Linked DNA regions of Xenopus tropicalis. The protein of the gene in region 1 purifies or fractionates together with the protein of each later gene. This does not show direct contact. Links are inferred from orthologs where the notes say so. Each region holds a gene or a part of one and is shown in the gene's direction. Other genes may lie near its edges.

The links.
Region 2: the proteins of micall2 (region 1) and rab8a purify together in Homo sapiens (co-immunoprecipitation; 3 studies listed by BioGRID and IntAct, with this or other methods). This does not show direct contact. The link is inferred for Xenopus tropicalis from reciprocal best matches to the Homo sapiens genes MICALL2 and RAB8A.

Annotation. Positions count from the first base shown.
Region 1 is NC_030685.2:29,658,644-29,662,470, reverse strand, and holds part of micall2 (MICAL-like protein 2), read left to right. Parts: intron 1-2,355; 5' UTR 2,356-2,359; coding exon 2,360-2,502; intron 2,503-3,827. UniProt on the Homo sapiens protein: Effector of small Rab GTPases which is involved in junctional complexes assembly through the regulation of cell adhesion molecules transport to the plasma membrane and actin cytoskeleton reorganization.
Region 2 is NC_030677.2:104,435,784-104,439,610, forward strand, and holds part of rab8a (ras-related protein Rab-8A), read left to right. Parts: intron 1-190; coding exon 191-280; intron 281-1,517; coding exon 1,518-1,583; intron 1,584-3,470; coding exon 3,471-3,521; intron 3,522-3,827. UniProt on the Homo sapiens protein: The small GTPases Rab are key regulators of intracellular membrane trafficking, from the formation of transport vesicles to their fusion with membranes.

The DNA of each region.
Region 1 (3,827 bases):
TGTGCGCCCAATTTGTAAAACCACACAACACCGATTACATTTATTTTAATGCATTGGTTGCTGGAGCAAATACTAAGGAATTATGGGGGGGGGGGGAATTCATTGTGGCTAAAACCATTTGCAGCACAAATGGGGCATGTTGTCTGTTTTGTAAGGAATAAGTTATGTTATTTAAAACGCACAGCGGTAGTGGAATCCATTATGGACCACAGTGGTGACAGTCAGTGGAAAGGTTGGCAGATATATAGCATTCACTATGGGACATGGCAAGAGAGTGAATTAGAATCCAGGGGCAGCTTATTTCATTTATGGTTCTGTTTGATACTTTATCCCTCTAGAACATCAATATGCACCTTTCTAACCATTTTATTTAAAACAGAAGTAAAATCACTTAACAGGGGCCAGTCTCCTAAGGCCTGAACTGATATTCAAAATAGGGCCGGGCATTTCAGGTACACAGTTCCCCACCAGCCCACATGCCATAGACATAGTGGTCTATGGCATCTTACAGCAGCCCCTCTGGCATTTGCTAGAACCCACAGATTGCCAGTCCAGGCTGACTCCAGCTATAACTACACCTGCTATAGATGGCTTCTCTATGTTGCCGTGCCTTCTCATACTGTGACTAGGCAGTGCTCCTGCTCTGTCTATCGAGCATTTCATCAGATTTCATTACATTCCCTGGTACGGGCTTAATCCATAAAGCAGGTGCACTGTAAAAGTGATTATAGCCCTAGCTGTTTTATTTGTCTTTCTGCCAGCAATTCTTTGTCAGTCTGCTTTTCAAATGCTATTAAATCATAGTATTATGTTTCATGGTAATCATTTTGCCATTGGTGAAACAGTGTTAAAATCCCAGTTGTAAAACATCAAAGCCGTATGAGTACTGATTTGAGGATGTGGTTTATTTTTTTGTTTTTGAAGTAACCACAGTGTCTGTCAGTGTATAAAGGAATGACCAAAGAGGGGGTTATTTATTATATTAGATAATACAATAATCAGAAATGAGGGGTTGTTTATGAAAACTTACACAATTCAGGTATGACAGGGGAGAGTTACTCACTTACTTTCATGCCTAGTGCTGCACTGCCATCTTTTCAGTAATTTGACGTCAAAAATGTTACCATTAGGCACTTGCACAAGTCTGGGAATTTGTAGCTGCAAGGCAGCCTTGGGAAATAAAGGAAAGATGGCAGAGCTAGGTAAGAAAGAGGCCGTGACTAGGGCAGTTTTTCTGAACCAGGGGGGTAAAACATTGATTGAGTACATGTGCCTAACCTATGGGCACCCCAGTGCATTACCCTTTCCTTGTTCTTTAAGACCTTAGATGGGTTAAACTTGGTGGGGTTTCTCCAATCCCTGTATTCCATGCGATCTTAACCCATTTGAAAAGTCAGATGACATCTTGGGAAAAAAAAACCTGAAATATTTGAATTTTTGAGAGTAGAAAAATGAAATATCCAAATCTCCAAACCAGAATATGCAACTTGAATTTTTAGAATATAATTAGCATATTATTCTTAAATCAAGGGGAATCTCCCTTTATCAAACACAAATCTCCAACCTTGACCTTTGACAAATCTGCCCATTAGGCTAATGCCACAAGGGGCTGATTTTTAGCCAGCATTTAAACACAGGGCCTGTGGTTGCCTAATCCTGTGACTGTACCTGGAGCCACTGCCTCAGGCTGGGTGATGGCACATGGAGCGAATTTCAGAACCAAAAGTATGCATTTTGGAACCAAAATGTGCTCTGTGTGCCTGCACCTAGGCTGATGCAGTGGCTCCAGATAAATGCAGGATGAAAACCAGCCATGTGTGGCATTTACCTTAGTCTAATAGCACAACGAGCGGTTTGAGAGACACATTTTTAAGTTGCCAAAGTGTCAGAATCTGCCTCCTGCTTGACTTTCATTGAAATCACCTTAAGAGCATGTGCCTGCCACTGTAGGGGGTACCATGTTTTGATGCCATGTTTTTTTGGCTGCCTATAACTGTGCTGCTTAATTCATCCCAAAGAGATACTGAGTTCCAGGATCCTTAATATGTGGGTGCAGAAGTAATGATACATAGGTATTTGACACTGTGTATGCCACATAGTTTTGGTTTACTCATTCATTTGTTAAATATTTTGAATTAGCACACAAGCTTTCAACTTTATGGACTATTGTCTTTTTTTCCAACCCAAATTAACACTGTGACTATGTATAGTGTCTCATTGTAAATAAGTGTACGAATTGTGACCTTTAATGACTTTGCATAGGCAAAACTGCAGTTATAGTGAACAAGTTTTTAGCTTTAGTAGTTACAACCTCAAACATTAATGTCAGCTGGCTTCTTGTTTCTTTCCTCCCAGCAGAATGGCGGCCATAAAAGCTCTCCAGCAGTGGTGCAAGCAGCAATGTGATGGCTATCGAGATGTCAGCATCACTAATATGACCACCTCGTTCCGTGATGGATTAGCATTTTGTGCCATATTACATAAGCACCGTCCAGATCTCATGTAAGGAACTCTCAGAGGCCCTCATTTCCTCTGGTTTCACTTTGTCTTCATGTTACTTGTTGTTTAATCCCTTATGCAATGCACCTTACCCATGTATGTAACAATAGTTTTCAACATTTTACTATTGGCTGCCTGACTAAAGTACATTGTTTTCTAACACATACATGCTTTTTTGCCTTCTCTTCTTGACCAGGGTGTCCTTATGGCACACATTACGTTTGTATGTTGCATCTGAAGATAAAGGTGATTTACCCCTTTAATAACCTTCTCAGCACAACTAATGTTACCTGATTCTGTGGGCAACTGCAAACAGAAAGCATTTTGTAACTGGGGCAATTTTTAGGTCTTTGGACAGGGAACAAAATGCTTATAATCCCTGCCACCCTCCCCTGTCGACTTGAAAGACAGTTGCCTCTGTGGGTGGGTGAACTTGCCTGTAAGGTGATTGTTGGTCAGGAAATGCTGAATGGTGTATTTTTTGAACGAGTGCCCCCTTGGCAGATGATTGCCATACAAATCAGTGAGTGGAGATTTTGAGCATTTTGTTCACTACCAATAGAGCTTCTGACAGCCAGAGCAACAAATTGTTTGATACTGATCTGTGTGCCAAATGCCTGTGTGTCCGGTACATAAAGATACATTATCATTTTTTTTCTATTGTTTTTTAATGAATCATATGTTGGAGAGTGCTAACAAGCTTTAACAACCAGTGAATAAAGGCAGCATTTCTTTTCCTACCCCCCACAATGGTCCCCTGTACAGTATGCAGAGAGAAAACAGACTGTCATTGAGTTGTTGGGATGAGTGGCCGCCCTGATTCATAGTTGGACAGCAGGGCCTGGTGGGTGGGTGGCAGATCATTAGGGTGTGTTCCTTAGGTTGTAACCTTAGATTTTTTGTATTAGGTCCTTTCATGTATTTTCATGTAATTTTTTCCACAAATTTAAGACAAGGCGCTGGTATTTCGAAATTCAAAATTCCCCTGATATTAAAGCTAAAACTATATGTGGGTGCACGCTCTAGGTAAATGAATACGTGTTTGAGCAATAATTTGTACAAAGAAAGCACATCTTGCTAGGGTTTACACTAGATTAACAAAGAATAGTTGTAGAATGAGACAGGAGGATTGTATGGACCTGCACACAAGAACTTACATTTTTAAAGGTCACCTATTCGAGTAGATGAGTGGGGAGAGGATAAGCTGTCCGTTCTACTAGTTTGGTAATGTCCCCCCCCCCCAATGCCAGGGATGGTAGTCTAGATGGCTGCTTTGCACTGGCTCTCTCTATCCAGGCAGCTCACACACACAGTCTGTAAGTTGTGAA
Region 2 (3,827 bases), on another chromosome or scaffold:
TAAAGATGGCTCTGGTGATCTTTGTATGACCAGCATGTATGATGTATGACCATCTGTCAGACTTTTGATTGCATGACAAGCCACTTTGACTTCAAAGCGTGATAGGAAAACTAATGTTTGATACCATCATACTATTCTGACTGACAAGTTCTCGATGCAAATATAAACCTTTACACTCTTTGCCTTCCAGCATGCATCCTCTGATGTTGAGAAAATGATCCTAGGAAACAAATGTGATGTGAATGAAAAGCGACAAGTTTCCAAAGAGAAGGGTGAAAAGGTAAGAGTTATTTAACAGTTTTGGTGTTCTGATATCTGAGCTTAAAACCCATTAAGCTGTGAATAGGTAAACGAGCTATGAGGTCCTGTTTGGGTACATTTAAAAATATATGAAAAATAAGTTTCCAAATGCTTTATAACAATAACCAATCTTTAGCCCTTTTAAGTAGAAGAAAACTCTGAGCATTACTCTGCCAGGGCATAAAAATAGTGCATATCCACTCGCCAATCATCCCCCCCCCAAAAAAATATATATATATTATATATATATATATATATATATATATATATATATATATATAATTTATTTATTTGGCTGGTGTCACATGTGCTTAATGTAAGTGCTCCTGTAGTCCAAATTAGACTTGACATATTAAAGGAAGAATGAAGAGAGGAATGATGTTGTCAGTGGGATATATGTGCAAGGATATTCAGGGCAGGGTCATGTTAATACATGTTAACAGTTTTGCATAAAATAAATATGGTGTTGGGCAATGGGAAAGGCTGAGCAATTGTTTCTCAGTTTCCTTGGACTTTAATTTAAGTATTAACCTCAGGAAAATAGAATCTGGTGCATTTTTTTGTTCATATAGTTTAGAATATTACCCAGTATGTAGTAAGGTGAATATTGAAAGAATGAGGCTAAAGGATAGAGACATAAGAATGTGGTGCATTTGTTTAAAATATTTAGAGAAAATATAGAAGCATATCCATTACCAATTTTTTTTTTTCTGCCTCAAATAACTTCAATAGCCAGCACAAAACAGCATGCACTCGTCGGACTCCAGGACAGCGGATAAAAATTCAAAAAAGCTTTATTAAGGATAAAAACCTAACGGTTAGGTTTTTATCCTTAATAAAGCTTTTTTGAAATTTTATCCGCTGTCCTGGAGTCCGATGAGTGCATGCTGTTTTGTGCTGGCTATTGAAGTTGAATCTCCCCATGCTGCGGGTCTGGGGCATGGCACCCGGGCCACCAAAAGGAAGTGGTGAGTGAGCATCCTGCATTTTGAACTTACATATGAGCATAAATTCCCCAGAACAAAGAGAGAAAAAAGTGATAAGCGAAAGGTTTGCGGCATAAGCACCCGAACCTACTAATTAACTGGGTGAGCGCGAGCGCTAATTGAAATATAAATCAGTTTTTTTTTATCTGTAGTGGGAAGGACTGTGAGCCCCCGAACAAGCAAATAGTACAGTGCCTCAAATAACTAGCAATATCACTGTTTGTATTTCAGCTGGCCCTTGAATATGGAATTAAGTTCATGGAGACAAGTGCAAAGGCAAATATCAATGTGGAAAATGTAAGTAGACTGAACGTGCTTAATTCAGTAAGCGGGGAGAGTAATGTTCATTGGTAGACACCCTTAAAGGAACAGTAACACCAAAAAAATTCAAGTGTATGTACTGCTGCTCTGCACTGGTACAACTGGTGAGTTTGCCTCAGAAACACTACTATGGTTTATATAAAGAATGCAGCTGTGTAGCCATGGGGGCAGCCATTCAAAGGAGAAAAGGCACAGGCACTTAGCAGATAACAGAAACACTATTGTATTCTACAGAGCTTATCCGTTATCTGCTATGTAACCTGTGCCTTTTCTCCTTTTTTCCAGCTTGAATGGCTGCCCCCATGGCTACACAGCAGCTTATTTATATAAACTATAGTAGAGTTACTGTAGCAAACACACAACTTTTACCAGTGCAGGGCAACAGTACATTATATTTCTTTTACTTTAAAACTCTTAAATTTTTTGGTGTTACTGTTCCCTTAACAATCAAAACAGGTTAAAGTGAAGAGTGGTCAGCAAACAATATAGTCATAGGTTTTCTATAGTCAAAAAGGCAGTGGGTGTTTTATAGAAGTCCGAGCATTTTTCTGCAACTTTCCATATTCTTTCGTATCGGCAAAAAAAAAAGAAAAATCTGTAGTGCTGTGTAGTGAGAAAAAACCACGCAACATGGTACTGTACCCTGTGCCTGATGGCTCTTCATTGATGCAATCATTACCCAGCACTATAGGACAACCAATGGGGCACCAGAAAACGCCGGGATATTTTTTGGGGTAGAATGTTAACTCCCAATATTTATAACAACCCTTCCATATGGCCTTTTTGTTGTCTGTTTTGCCTTTTTAACCCTTTGTGCAATGGACTTAGTAACAGTTCCACATGTCAAAATAGAGCCCTGAAACATAGAATCTATAGTGTTGGTATGATACTTTTATGCGGACACAATAGTAGTTCCAAAATGGAGGCCCAAAGCTGCATCTAAGTGGGTCCAGGTTATGGTAAGATTTGTGGAATACCTATGCAAGTGTATGTATGAATATGAGTTTAGGGGGCCGTAACCAGAAATAATAACCTATATGTGTCTGATCTTTGTGTGTTGTGATTTATGTATGTATTTATTCCTGGAGAATCTAAAATAAATTTTTGTATGTTTTTAAGAAACCTCCACTTTTACTTCATGTTTGGGGTCAGTGTTTTGCCAGTGTTTTCATCTTTCTATATAGAGATACAAAGGGGCACATTTACTAACCCACGAACGGGCCGAATGCGTCCGATTGCGTTTTTTCCGTAATGATCGGTATTTTGCAATTTTTCTGAAAATTGACGCAACTTTTTCATAGCCATTCCGAATGTTGCGCAAAATGTTGCGATTTTTTCGTAGCCTTACGACTTGCGCGAAAAGTCGCGACTTTTTCGCAGCTTTCGCGCCGAGTACGAAAGATTCAGATTCATTCAAGCTTCAGCATGGTGACTTTTCTTGGGCCAGGTTGGAGCTGCAGGGTGCCATTGAGTCCTATGGGAGGCTTCCAAAATCATGCTAAGTCTGAAAGTTTCGCCCGCCGCTTACGAGCGCTCAATACGAAAAAGTCGCGACAAGATACGAGCGAATCGTAATGGCTACGAAAAACTCTCGTTTTTTCGCGCAAGTCGTAATGGTTACGAAAAAGTTGCGACAATTTCCGAAAAGTCGTAAAGGCGACTAAAAAATCGCAAAAAATACGAAAAAGTCGCAAAATGTTCGTTTTCCAGTCGGAATTTTTCCAATTCGAATTCGTGTCTTAGTAAATCAGCCCCAAAGAGTGTTTATTGTTGTCTAGTACTTGTACTATATAGGCAAGAGATTAAAGGAATCACCCACTCATAGTATTGCTTTTGATATCAAGTTCTTCTATCTTTTCACAGGCATTTTTTACATTGGCAAGAGACATCAAAGCAAAAATGGATAAGAGGATGGTAAGTATAAGTATTTAATGGCTGCTTTGTGCTCCTGTGCCAGATATTGGTACTAAAAAGCAGGTATTTAACACTTAATTTCCCACACTGGTCTGGGTTTCATAGCTTGTTCTTCCCTTTATTCTAATGAGGGTTGGAGTAGAACTTCATAGACTGGTATGATCAAAGAGAGCAAGCATTTTGCCTCAACTTGCTATTGATTTAACAAGCTACTGCTTGTTGATACTATAGCTCCTTATTATAAAGGCTGTAATAGATGCTTGCTTCATGAGATTTGATTGCTTACTAATATGTATCACAGGTCCT